3 linked regions of the Arabidopsis thaliana genome follow. The protein of the gene in region 1 interacts with the protein of each later gene in a pairwise test. Each region holds a gene or a part of one and is shown on either strand. Other genes may lie near its edges.

Region 1 (4,291 bases):
TTCTTTAATTCGCCGATTCCGGGAGTGTAGGTGTGACTTGTCGTCTTTGGCCTAGTTCTTCTCGCCGGTATGGATTCCTTGGAACTCTTCTATGTAAGGTAGTCTTCATCGTAATAGGTGGCACCGCTGTCCGTTTGGTTGGGAGTTCCTTGTCTCCTACGGAGTGGCTTGTTGTAAAGCTCTGCCTTTCCTTTGTCTGGTAATGTGGTTGACGAGATGTTGTGTTTAAAATTTTGGTTGTTTTGGTCTGCTTCTTTGTTTCAGTTTCGCAACTTTGCTTTGTTTGTAAGGTTTGTTTTGCCTTGTTGTCTCCCTTTCCTTTGGGTTTTGCTTCCAAGACTATCCTTTTAATCGTCGGCTTAGTTTTCTGGTGTTACTTGTTAACCGCCGGCTTTATATTTCACTTTTGTATTTCACCGGAATCTCTATAATAAATTTTCAGACGACAAAAAAAAAAAGTAACTTAGAAAGGTCAAATGTCAAAACAAAAAGTGTTTTTTTTTTAGTAAGTGTTTTTCTCCATCGTACGTACAAAAGCATTGAGCGCGCGAAGTCAAGAAGGATCTTTATTATGATAGGTTAACAAAGATTCTTACTAAAGTACTGTTTCATGGAATGTTAAAACATTCATGGAATAAGAGTAGTCATGAATGCAAAAGTAGAATTTTTTTTATAGAGTCAATGCATGTCTCTTCAAATTAAGTTCAAAGTTGACAAGTACTACGAAATTACTGAACAAACTCGCTCATTCCCAAGGACTCTTCTCGAACACACACAAATCCTACTTCCGTTTCAGATTCTTCTTCTCTCTATCTCTCTCCAACAACAGAAACCCTAAACCAACATAATCAAACCCTAGAAGAAAAGAGTCACCATCACATGTCATACGCCATTATTTATTTTTTTGTTAAATTTTCATATCCCAAATTGTTATTACTCAAATGGAGATTTTCCCCAAATGGAATGCCTCTGAGCCTTTCTCTCTCGGAACCCATTATTGCTTTCTTCATGGTCCTGCATCACAAACATTTCAACAATTATTTGGTATATTAATTGAAAACTATACATATTCAGCTTCAATGTTTTAAATTAGTTGAATGGGTTTCTATAAAAGTAAACTGTGTGCAGTGTAAGCTTCAATACTATAAAAGGGTTTAGGTCATAAATTTCACACATTGTAGTAGTTGAAGATCAATGATATATTCTCACAATCTCACTTACCCTTCTCCTTGCTTTCACTCTAATAATTAGTAAATGATTTCTCTTTATATAATTAGTCTAGCTAGGGTTCTGAAATTTTGACTGAGAGCGATGCTATTTGGATCTAGTTAATGCTTTAATTATTTGGTTTGCTTTGGAAAATGACACTTGTTGTGGAGTTTACTTGTCAAGAATATGGTAATTGATTTTGAAGCGAAAGTGATTAAAAAATATAAATGGTTGCTGAGGATTACCTCAAAAACATTGCATGGTAGTATCGCATTGTTATCTTCCTCACAAAAACATTGATCTGAAGCAGCTCTCTTGTTGTGAGCTGGAGGAAAATGGGCCCACTTCGCCATCCCCAAATCAAAAAATTGAAATCATAAAATGTTATTAGCTAACTCGATCTGTCAATTAAGCTAACAAAAAGATGAAAACTATATTAGGGTTTTCTTTTAAATCTTAAGACTAATTAAGCTTAAGTACATTTTTGGCAGCTAAGCTGAAAGCTTCCTTGTGAGCCATGCTTGGATTCTGAGCCTTTAACCTCCTGATCTCTTCCCTGCTCCAATACAACCCCCAAAGAAGAACCATTTTACAAACTCAAAACCTTAAGTGGTTAAATTTGTAAGAATATATATAATATACATACACATGTAATGTGTTGAATTTATTTCTTACTTGATGAAGCAATTGTAAGCTGAAGGAGCTCTTTGTCGCTTCTCAGGTGCTATATATATACAAACTCAAAACATAATTAGACGACTGATGAAAGGAGAAATCGCAAAACTAAAGTTTAAGTTGAATTTATACTCAAACGTACGTTTATTGACAACTTGGTAAACACGAGACACATCTTCATCTTCATTGTCTGAAGATGAAACCAAAGTCGTTGGACTGTTCTCCTTCTCCTGATTCACCTTCCATGCTTCTTCTTCCACACCATCTGTAGCTGCAACCTCCTCTTTCCCGGTCTGCACATATATTTACATATAATCAAAAGTAAGTATATATATATATATATTGGTCATATTTAGATGGTGTGTGTTTGTCTATGTATAGATGTTATGGAAACCTCATCAAGATGGGAGAGAGAAGCAAGGAGATGGAGAGGAATGAAGGAAGCCTTCATCAAATTGACAGAGAGAAGGCTTGTGCAATGCCCACATCTCACAGTCACCACCATTGACAAGCTTGTAAACGGTACACTCACCTGCAACACATTTACACTCATTAAACTCATGATCATATATATAAAGAGAGGAAGGGAGAAAGGAAGGGAGAGAATAAGAGAAGAAGTTAAGGTATACCAGCAAAATAGTGGTGCAAAAACCACACTGGACATGGCAAATCTGCCCCGGCAGATCAAATAGATGGTTGAGTGTTGTCGTCATGTTGGGGAGCTTTGTCATAGAGAGTGTGTGTGTACGATGAATGATAGGAGATATATGTGTGTGTGTGTGTGTGTATATATAGACAGAGAGATAGGTTTTGTTAATATTCATTAATGCAAATATGTAATTATATTTATATCTTTCATGTGGAATGCTTTGGTTATATGCTAAAATGCACAATACAATTCAACTTATGTACGTCTCTATCTCACTTGTAATAATTGGAATCTTCATAGTCTCTATGAGCTGTAAGCAGTAAATGATTCTCATTCTTTCTATTAATCACATTCCTAACTCCTTAATATTCAAACTACATTTTCTTCTCTAAAATAAAATAAAATAAAATGATGTATATAATACTTTTGTTGATGATGGAGTTTAATTAAGAATTTTCGTTATACAAAAGCATTGTTATAAGATTTTTATGTTATGTCACACTCACAAAATATATATGACAAATGATACATAACGTTTGAGCGTTTACCATTAGAGGAGACATTTTTTGTTGTCAAAACAATTTAAAACACTTAATAACCTATAAACAGAAAATATATAAGCTCCCTTCAAAAACCATTTCAGGATTTTTCTGATAAATAAGCATACAAGATAATATGTGTTATTGTAAGATAACACTAGGTTAAACAAAAAAATAACAAGAGATAAAAATCGATGGTAAAGAGTATGAGTATTAAAAATGAACATGTGAAAATGGAAAGGCACGTTGCACAAGAGGAGATAGATAGACATCGAAGAGAGCTGGGGTTAATAAATGATGTGATGTGGTGGTGTGGTTTGGTTTGCAAGTTAGAAAGAAAGAAAAAAACAAGTGAGGTTGAGAAAGAAATGCCTCTTTGTCTCATGTGTAGTTGTCTCTTTAAATGGGATTTAATGAATCTCTCACAAAACTCAACAGTCTTTTGGAGTTTTGGTTGAAGTGAGACTGAAAATGAAAGTGCAGTGAGTTGAGACTAGTGCGGGTGTTTCTAGGAGACTCATCACTTTTAGTAACTCGGAATCTTAGGATTTTGTCTTTCTTCTCTCACATTTTTGCTAACTGTTTCTTGACCATTTTACCCAAACTCTTCTCTCTCTCTCTCTCTCTATTTCTTCAAGTTTCAGTGCTTTCTCTCTGTGTCATGTTATTTCTACTGTCCCTCTCTTTATTGCTTTCTCTCTCTCTCACTTACTCTCATCTCCTATTTTGTGTTCAACCACAAGAAAAAGACTAAACATAATACTAATATTTACTCAATTTCCTACACATTTGTAATTTTTGTGTGGGTGGAATCCAATGCAATGACCCAACCCCGGAGTGAACAAGTTTCGACCCATTTTGAGAGATCACATAATTTACCGACCCATTAATAAGTTTCGATCCATTTTCATAAGCCTATTGATGAGTAATTGAGTAGGAGGTACACATTTGTGATTTGAGAGATTAGAGGTTAAAATTATACATTGTAATCATAGTTATGGCTTCTGGTTTAACAGTCTTTTACTCCATATATACTGATATACATCTCATTTCTAGTCTCAAACTTTTACATGACAGCTTATAGATTGGTCAAATCTCACTGTTAACATAAATAGAAGCTGTGAAATGACGATAAAATGTGCAAAGACAAACGCACGTTAATGTCAAACACATAATCAATATCTGAGAGAATTTAAACTTATCTTAGCAAACAAGTTAT
Region 2 (5,221 bases), about 17 Mb from region 1:
TTATTTTAGCGATTTTGTTCTTGATATTGAATTGTGTATATATATCAACAAAACGAATTGAAGTGTTGTTTTGGACGAGTGTATATATATCTACTTTATTAAAGAAAATTGTTTGTAGAAGACAACATCACCTGCAATGCTTTATAATTCTAGTGTTCTTGTTTTTCTTTTACAGGGATTAATTTCCAAAACTTTTCTTTCGTTCGCCAGTTTAGTTTCTTTTATTTGGAATTTTGTATTTTACTTTGGTTCCTATAGGCTACGCGTAACATTGGCACATACTACTTTTTCATGTATGTAAGTAATTTCTGTAAAAGGCTACATTAAAGTCAATACTCTCCGTTTTGGGTTTCAGTGAAATCTAAAAAATGTCAATTTTACTTTTGAAGTTGCAACTTTCAGATAGCAACAAGAGCGAACGAGACAAATGCCTCAGGTTTCAGTGTACAGCTCCACTAAATGGTTTTCGGGTGCTATTATTTGTTTCATATAAATACATAAATACTACTCCATTTTTTCTAATTTAATGAGTAGTATTAACAAAAAAAAGAGTTATAGATAATGCTAAGTCTAAAGACCGGGGTAAATTCAAGGTAATACAAGTCAACAACTAAAAAAAACTAATTAAGGTAGTGAATTGAGTTCACGCAATTAAATAAACTAGTTAAACGAGTAATTTGGACGAGGGTGAAGTTGCTACATGATCATAGTGGAGTTTAATTTACAAAAGAATAGGATAACAAAACTATATATATATATATATATATAACGTAGTGTCAAATAAATTAATTAGTGTGTTATTTTCAAATATACCCATAAAATCCTTTTATTTTCTAAAGAAAACACAAAATAAATAATCGAATTTAAGTATGATTTTTATCCATTATTTTTGCCAAATAGAGGGTTCTTTACTGCATATATTCCTTAAATAAAGGAAAGAGGTGACTATTATCCTAATTTCTTAAGTAAGAATGCGATTGTGAAAGTTTTGATATATCCAACTTTACAAAAAAAGAAAAAAAAGCATTGCATGTGATGAGAATCCATCTCCCCCATCCTCCCACCCATTCTTTCCAACTCAACCATCTCCTTTCTCTTCCTATTAATAAAGTATCATCTTCTTTTTGTTTCTCTTTTTATTTTTTAATGAAAAATAAAACTTTTAAAAAAATTTGTATTTACTTCAATTTTCTTACAGTTCCACTTGGATAGACAAATGCCCTTTAATGAGATGGTGGTGGACTTTAAGTATATGTTATACGCACAACACACACACACACACACACTTTTATAGACATGTTTTTTAATAAAGAAAATTCTTTCGAACATATTCCAGATCTCTAATTTTTCTTTTGTTTGAGATGTTATATAGAATTGGTCTCAGCTGACACTCAAAAACCAGATCTGACTCTAGGGTTTTGTGTTTGTTTTTTGTTTTTCTTGTAAGAAAAACTATATATTGGAAATTTTCTGATTCGTCTCACTTGTGGGCACAGTATTCATATTTGATTAAAACCTATTTCTTATATAAAAAGGCATGAGATGATGGCACCACATTGTATATTTGTATATATACGGAAACATAAATTGGGTATATGCATGTGTCTTATATTCAAAACAAATATTCTCAAGTCCCTTCCCTTTTTAATTTACACCAGCCCTATAGCTAAAGGCTACACATATATACATTTGTCACCATTAAAAAACATGTACTGTTAAACATCAAATTTCCAAGATTCCGTTTATATTTTTCACCTATCCTTTTTTTTATTTATCTTTGAAAAACAAAACTTACTCACTCTGATCGAATATTTTATGATATGAAATAATAATGACTTGTAATTGTTGTGTAGTGGAAGGGGATGTTTTTTTGTTTCTTGTCCTGATGCTAATGTGGGCTCCAAGCTCCTTGTCCCACTCTCTTTATATGTATAAACATCTCTCTCCATAGATATGTTTTGTGTTTGTAAACAAACAGTGTACAGATAGAGAAGAGAGAGGTTCATAACTACTCTGAAGAAGATTGAAGCACCAAAGACCATACAATGCATTTCTCCATCTAAGGTGAGAGGTCAATGAAACAATTAACAAAAAGTTGAAAGTTTCATTTATTTTTTTCTTTTCCAAGAAAATTATAAAAAGTTGGATAGTAAAAGGGAACAGAAAAGCTATTATCCCTTTATGTGAGAAAAAAAATAAAGATGATTTCAGAAAAACAAAGCCCTTTGTTTCTCTCTCTTAACTCATCTTATACTTTCTTCTTCTATTAGTAAAGATGAGTACTCTCTCTACCAAATAAATAAGGAAACATAAAAAACAATCTCTCCTTCTTTCTCTACATGAAAAACAAAAGATTCCTCAATTTTGTTCTTATTTTTCATTTAGTCACAGTACCTCTCTCACTATAAACCACACTGTCTTGAGATAAAATACAAAAAGAGAAGAGATTAAAAACCTCATCCGATGATAGACTACGAGAGAAGCAATACCACCAAGAACATCAACACCCATCATCACAACCCTCCTCCATCTTCATCTTCCTCTGATCTTCTTCCCGACGGTAATGGAACCGCCGTGACTCAGAAGCGGAAACGGAGACCCGCCGGGACACCGGGTATTTAACAATTTTCTTATCAAGAATTACTAGTTGTTAGATTCTATATCCGGAAAGTTATCAAATAGTTCTGTTAAAGATTTTGATTTATCCGGTGGCAGATCCGGAGGCGGAGGTGGTATCTTTATCACCAAGAACGTTACTAGAATCGGATCGGTACGTATGTGAGATCTGTAACCAAGGGTTTCAAAGGGACCAGAATCTACAGATGCATAGAAGACGACATAAAGTTCCATGGAAGCTTCTTAAAAGAGAGACCAACGAGGAAGTGAGGAAAAGAGTCTACGTCTGTCCGGAGCCGACATGTCTCCACCACAACCCTTGCCACGCGCTCGGAGATCTCGTGGGAATCAAGAAACACTTCCGACGGAAACATAGTAACCACAAGCAATGGATCTGCGAGCGATGCTCAAAAGGCTACGCAGTTCAATCTGATTACAAAGCTCATCTCAAAACCTGTGGCACTCGCGGCCACTCCTGTGACTGCGGCCGAGTTTTTTCCAGGTTCCATTCCTTAGTAACAAACCCTAGCTTTTTAATTTTTATTTTTATTATATATTTAGGATATATATTTATCGGAATCCTTAAAGTAAATCAAAGAATGTTTTTTCTAGTATGGCGTGTCCATGTTTTGATTTTTAGATAACGCACATAGATCTTGAAACAACGTTTACTAATGGAACCTGATGAGGTTTGTTTGGATGTACTGTTGTCTGAAAATACTTTTAATTAATTTAATAATTAGGAACTATGTTTTGATTACTCACGTTGACCCCATAATAGATTTCATTATCAAACTTTGTTAAGTATATACCATACTAAACCTCGAAGTCTTGCATATCTCATACTCAAATATATAATCCAAAAGATACCTAACTCCACTAACTTAATTATTTATATTATCTGTCACGAGATACAAATATTCCTTTGTGCTTTCCATTTTAGTTTAACTTATATAATACACTCTTATTTCTCAGAGTGGAAAGTTTCATAGAGCACCAAGACACTTGCACCGTACGCCGATCCCAACCCTCCAACCACCGTTTACATGAGCAGCAACAACATACCACAAACGCTACACAAACCGCTTCAACCGCGGAAAACAACGAGAACGGGGACCTCTCCATTGGTCCTATATTGCCTGGACATCCTTTACAAAGAAGACAATCCCCACCGTCGGAACAACAACCATCCACTTTGCTCTATCCCTTCGTTACTAATGGTAGTATCGAGCTTCAGCTACTTCCATCGAGGAATTGTGCTGATGAGACCAGCCTTAGTCTGTCTATAGGGACAATGGATCAAAAGACAATGTCGGAAGTTGAGAAGAAGAGCTACGAGAAGGGAGAAACGAGCCTAGAAAGAGAGGAGGCGAGAAGAGAAACAAAGAGGCAGATCGAAATCGCGGAATTGGAGTTTGCTGAAGCCAAGAGAATAAGGCAACATGCGAGAGCTGAGCTTCACAAAGCTCATCTTTTTAGAGAAGAAGCAAGTAGGAGGATTAGTGCAACGATGATGCAAATAACTTGCCACAATTGCAAGCAACATTTTCAAGCTCCGGCTGCTTTGGTTCCTCCTCCTCCTCAGACGCATTGTACCGATGAGAGCACGTCTCTGGCCGTGAGCTACATGTCTTCGGCGACTACCGAAGGAGAAAAGGCGAGTGATAGAGCATCTTCATAGACCTTGAAGAGAGAACACAAAAGAAAACAAATATTCTTCTTTTTTTTCTTTGATTGGAATTAAAGATCATCTTTTGATATTCGTTGGTTTTCTTACATATTCTTGGTTTGTGGGTTACCAGGTTTGGGTATTCACTGGGGGTTTGATTTTTTTTCTCTCAAACAAAAACCAAAGAAGAGAATAGTTTTTGTTGTATGAATTGTCTTGGGTCTGTTGGTTAACGTAATGTAATGAACGGGTTATAATTCTCAAGCATTCGTTAATTAGTTAGCTACAGAAATGTTGTTTTTCCATAGAGATAACTGATCTTAATTTTCAGTTTGGTTTGAGACTTTGAGTGTTTTGGATTTTATAGTTGAACTATTGTGACTTAAAAGTATTACCAATTCCTATTGTTCACACGAATATCTGCATTTTTCTTTTCTTTTCAGTCAATTATTTGCATTAAATGCAAGGGATAATAATTAGGTCAAATCGTGAGTCAAATTCTCAGGTAGAAACTAGAAACAATTCGCTCCATATCCCACGTCCGTGTAGACTGTAGTTTGAAATCGTCTAATTGAATGGTAAAATATTAAAATCTAATTCGATTAATTGTAGATTTTATTTGGATTTTGTGGGTTTTTGGTCTCAATGTGACCAAACAAGAAATCATATATTTTTACGTGAAGACAAAATCTCATGAGATATCTTTTGACCCTTATAGTTTGATGTGTTTTTCAAACACATAATAATAATATTTTTTTTAATGAATTTGAATTCATTAATAAAGTATGAGAGAGTTTGTAGAATATACCACCAAAAAAAAGATATTTAAAAAAAAAAACAAGAAAGAGCTAATGCAACAACAAACTGATTTGGTTTTCTCGATTAAACTTTAGGTTTATAGAAGAAAAAAAACCAATTTTGATCTCTGTGGACTTT
Region 3 (3,419 bases), on another chromosome or scaffold:
TTTAGGAAACAAAGAACAAAACAAACGGCGGGCCCACCGCCGTTAGAATCTCTCTCGGTTAGCCGACGCGGCCACCATTCTCTCTCTCTCTTCATCCATTCTCCACGCGTCGCGTTGACCACGTGGCACTATACATCTTTAAAACTCTTTCTATTTTATTTAAATAGCGAGTGCGTTGTGGGCCATCTTTGTTTTTCTTTGGCGGAGGGGCGGCTAAATAGCCTTTTGTTTTTATTTTAGTTTTATTCCGCGAAAGAAAAAGCAGTCAAACTCCAAGTTGAATTTGGAGCTGAGTCTACGAAGTCACGCATAACGCTCTTTCTTTCACGCGATCGCCGTCGGCACGTGTTTGGCGGTGAGATTCACGCTCGTACATGGAAACGCGGTTCCCAAGCCGCGCGTCCTCAAGGTGTTGCCACGTATTTTACATTTTTGCGTCATCCAATACTGTTCTTTGGTTTCTTCTTCTCTCTTCTTTTCAGGCGCCGCTGCTTAACTTATTTCCTAGTTTTTGAAGTTACTCTTGTCTTTAACTCACACTGCCATATAGTATGACTTTATTTACCTGTATTTTCAAATTTTTACACACATAACAGTATCTTTAGTTGTTTATTGGTCTTACAAAAAATTGGGTATTTTTTAAACCAAAAGTTTTGAGATACGAAAACAAAATTGATATGATCTGAAAAATTAGTTACTCACATATTTGTTCAAGTTTTTTTCTCAATTATGCAAGCATTAAGGTTGATCCAACAGGTTATGAGAAAACAAACTGAGTTCATTACAAGTGTACTCACTAGAGCAAGCTTGTGTAGTTATATCCTAAATCATGAGGGTAAATGGCACATGACAATTCGTAGTTAGATTAACTATATATATTAAATTAAGATGTGGGATTACATTCTTAATTCCCTCGGTTATGAAAATCAAAATCTTATCACCAGCATTCAAGGGAATACGCTGTGTAGACAAAACAGCAAACAACATGCATCTCCATTAAATGCGTCAAATACTGTACGGATTTCTTTAGTTTTTTTGTTACAAATTGTATCAAAAGTTTGTTAGTACATTGTACATACAGATAACAAATGAATTTCACTTTTTAGATAAAATAGTTTACACAAAAAAAAAAAAAAAAGACTTTGCATCCAATATTTTCCACCACAAAATAAATCATTCAAAATACGGATTGATTAAATATGTATCATAGTAAGATCTATATTTCAAAATTTATCCTTATTTCATTAAGAACTTTAATGCAAAGATTACATAGTCCAATTAATTTTCTCATTGCCAAATATTAATAATTAAATTAAAGATCCAGTGATAAAAAGTTTTATTTTAAAATTAAAGTCAATCAAATTAATGTATTTAATTTGTATCTATATTTTTGACAATGTATTCAACTTTTTAAATACATCAATAAATTCATTAATAAGATGATCAACAAAAATTGAAAACGCTTGGTGAGGTTAAAAAAGAAATGAAGGGTTGATAAGAAAAACAAAATTCTTTGAAAGAGGAAAGAAAAACACGTGGCAAAAGATAAGTGGAGGTAAAAAAGAAAACCATGAAAACCGCTGGTGTTTTGTAAGAGAAGCCGCTAAAACCATTTCAGGCTTTGACTGTTCACAACAAAGCGCCCCAAAAGGAGCGTCGCTTTTACTCTCTCTCCCATCCTATATATAAACAACTCTCTCCTTTCCTCTTCTCCCTTCAATTATCTATCACACCACCACTCTCTCTCTAATCTATCTATCCGAGAATGGCCAAGATGGGCTTGAAACCCGACCCGGCTACTACTAACCAGACCCACAATAATGCCAAGGAGATTCGTTACAGAGGCGTTAGGAAGCGTCCTTGGGGCCGTTATGCCGCCGAGATCCGAGATCCGGGCAAGAAAACCCGCGTCTGGCTTGGCACTTTCGATACGGCTGAAGAGGCGGCGCGTGCTTACGATACGGCGGCGCGTGATTTTCGTGGTGCTAAGGCTAAGACCAATTTCCCAACTTTTCTCGAGCTGAGTGACCAGAAGGTCCCTACCGGTTTCGCGCGTAGCCCTAGCCAGAGCAGCACGCTCGACTGTGCTTCTCCTCCGACGTTAGTTGTGCCTTCAGCGACGGCTGGGAATGTTCCCCCGCAGCTCGAGCTTAGTCTCGGCGGAGGAGGCGGCGGCTCGTGTTATCAGATCCCGATGTCGCGTCCTGTCTACTTTTTGGACCTGATGGGGATCGGTAACGTAGGTCGTGGTCAGCCTCCTCCTGTGACATCGGCGTTTAGATCGCCGGTGGTGCATGTTGCGACGAAGATGGCTTGTGGTGCCCAAAGCGACTCTGATTCGTCATCGGTCGTTGATTTCGAAGGTGGGATGGAGAAGAGATCTCAGCTGTTAGATCTAGATCTTAATTTGCCTCCTCCATCGGAACAGGCCTGAGCTTTTAACGGTGTCGTTTCAATTCGAAGCGCATGCGTTTCTTCTTCTTTTTGAGCTGTGAAAATTCGTTTTCTCATAGTTTTTCCTCTCTCTCTCTCTCAGTCTAAATTTATTACCAGTTTTTAGAAAGAAAAAACAGATTAAATCTGAGAGAGAAAAATATAATTTTAGCTGACATGGATCGTTATGTACATATTATTACATAACCGGAGATCTGAACTTTTGTTGTGTGCTTTTAATTTTTTGCGACTTGGTTTCACCCCATGTTGTTTCTCTATTTTTTTTACTACTTTTTTTTTTTTTGTTCTTCCAAATTTTCAATCAATAATTTGGTAATCTTCAGAATTATCTTGTCCAATCCAATTTCCGAAATTTTGATTATTACTACTTGTGGGTTGTGGCGGCTCCTTCTATTGGCTTTCCTTTTCTATCGTTACCACCAAATTAAAAAAATTGAAGGGACTAAAATTACTTATTTGACAAAACAAAATAATTGTAAGTTGAAGTATAAGAAAAACTAAAATTCAAAGTGAGATTAATAAAATGGTAGTTGAGTATCGTCGGCTTTTAACAATGGTCCAAGTTTCCAGCAGACACGCAGCCGGCGTGTGTGGGCCCTCGTTTTGCTCTCTGCGGCGTAAGTTAGAAAATTCTTTGCGCTTACGTCACTTAGTAGTAGGGTCCACTCACAGAGTACGGACATACTCATTTCTTTTCTTTCTAGCTAACTTGGAAGAGTCTTGAAGCTGAGAGTTAACACTCTTTAGGTCTGACAGAGAGAACCTAGATTTTTAATTTGATAGATTCTTAAATTTGGAAAAGAAACTGCCACAAAACAAAGATAAGATTTTGTTCAATTTTTTTTAAGAAAGATCTCTAGTTTCGTAAACAAATTTTTGTCGGCAAAAAATGGAAAAAGAGTACACAAAGTCTCTAAAGAAACAACTATGACTAGTCTAGATATTGGTTTTTTTTATCTGAAAGC

The links.
Region 2: the proteins of INO (region 1) and IDD14 interact in binary tests that used the Arabidopsis thaliana proteins (3 or more experiments, as listed by UniProt).
Region 3: the proteins of INO (region 1) and ERF4 interact in binary tests that used the Arabidopsis thaliana proteins (3 or more experiments, as listed by UniProt).

What each region holds. Positions count from the first base shown.
Region 1 is NC_003070.9:8,315,747-8,320,037, reverse strand, and holds INO (Plant-specific transcription factor YABBY family protein), read right to left. Parts: upstream 2,742-4,291; 5' UTR 2,709-2,741; coding exon 2,514-2,708; intron 2,417-2,513; coding exon 2,279-2,416; intron 2,178-2,278; coding exon 2,027-2,177; intron 1,934-2,026; coding exon 1,885-1,933; intron 1,766-1,884; coding exon 1,690-1,765; intron 1,554-1,689; coding exon 1,455-1,553; intron 1,015-1,454; coding exon 934-1,014; 3' UTR 547-933; downstream 1-546. UniProt on the Arabidopsis thaliana protein: Essential for the formation and the abaxial-adaxial asymmetric growth of the ovule outer integument.
Region 2 is NC_003070.9:25,530,021-25,535,241, forward strand, and holds IDD14 (indeterminate(ID)-domain 14), read left to right. Parts: upstream 1-1,987; 5' UTR 1,988-2,463; coding exon 2,464-2,614; exon of another isoform or gene 2,615-2,715; coding exon 2,716-3,118; intron 3,119-3,591; coding exon 3,592-4,297; 3' UTR 4,298-4,658; downstream 4,659-5,221. UniProt on the Arabidopsis thaliana protein: Transcription factor regulating starch metabolism by binding directly to the promoter of QQS. The IDD14beta isoform attenuates the transcription factor activity by competitively forming heterodimers with reduced DNA-binding capacity.
Region 3 is NC_003074.8:5,119,707-5,123,125, forward strand, and holds ERF4 (ethylene responsive element binding factor 4), read left to right. Parts: upstream 1-1,715; 5' UTR 1,716-1,765; coding exon 1,766-2,434; 3' UTR 2,435-2,856; downstream 2,857-3,419.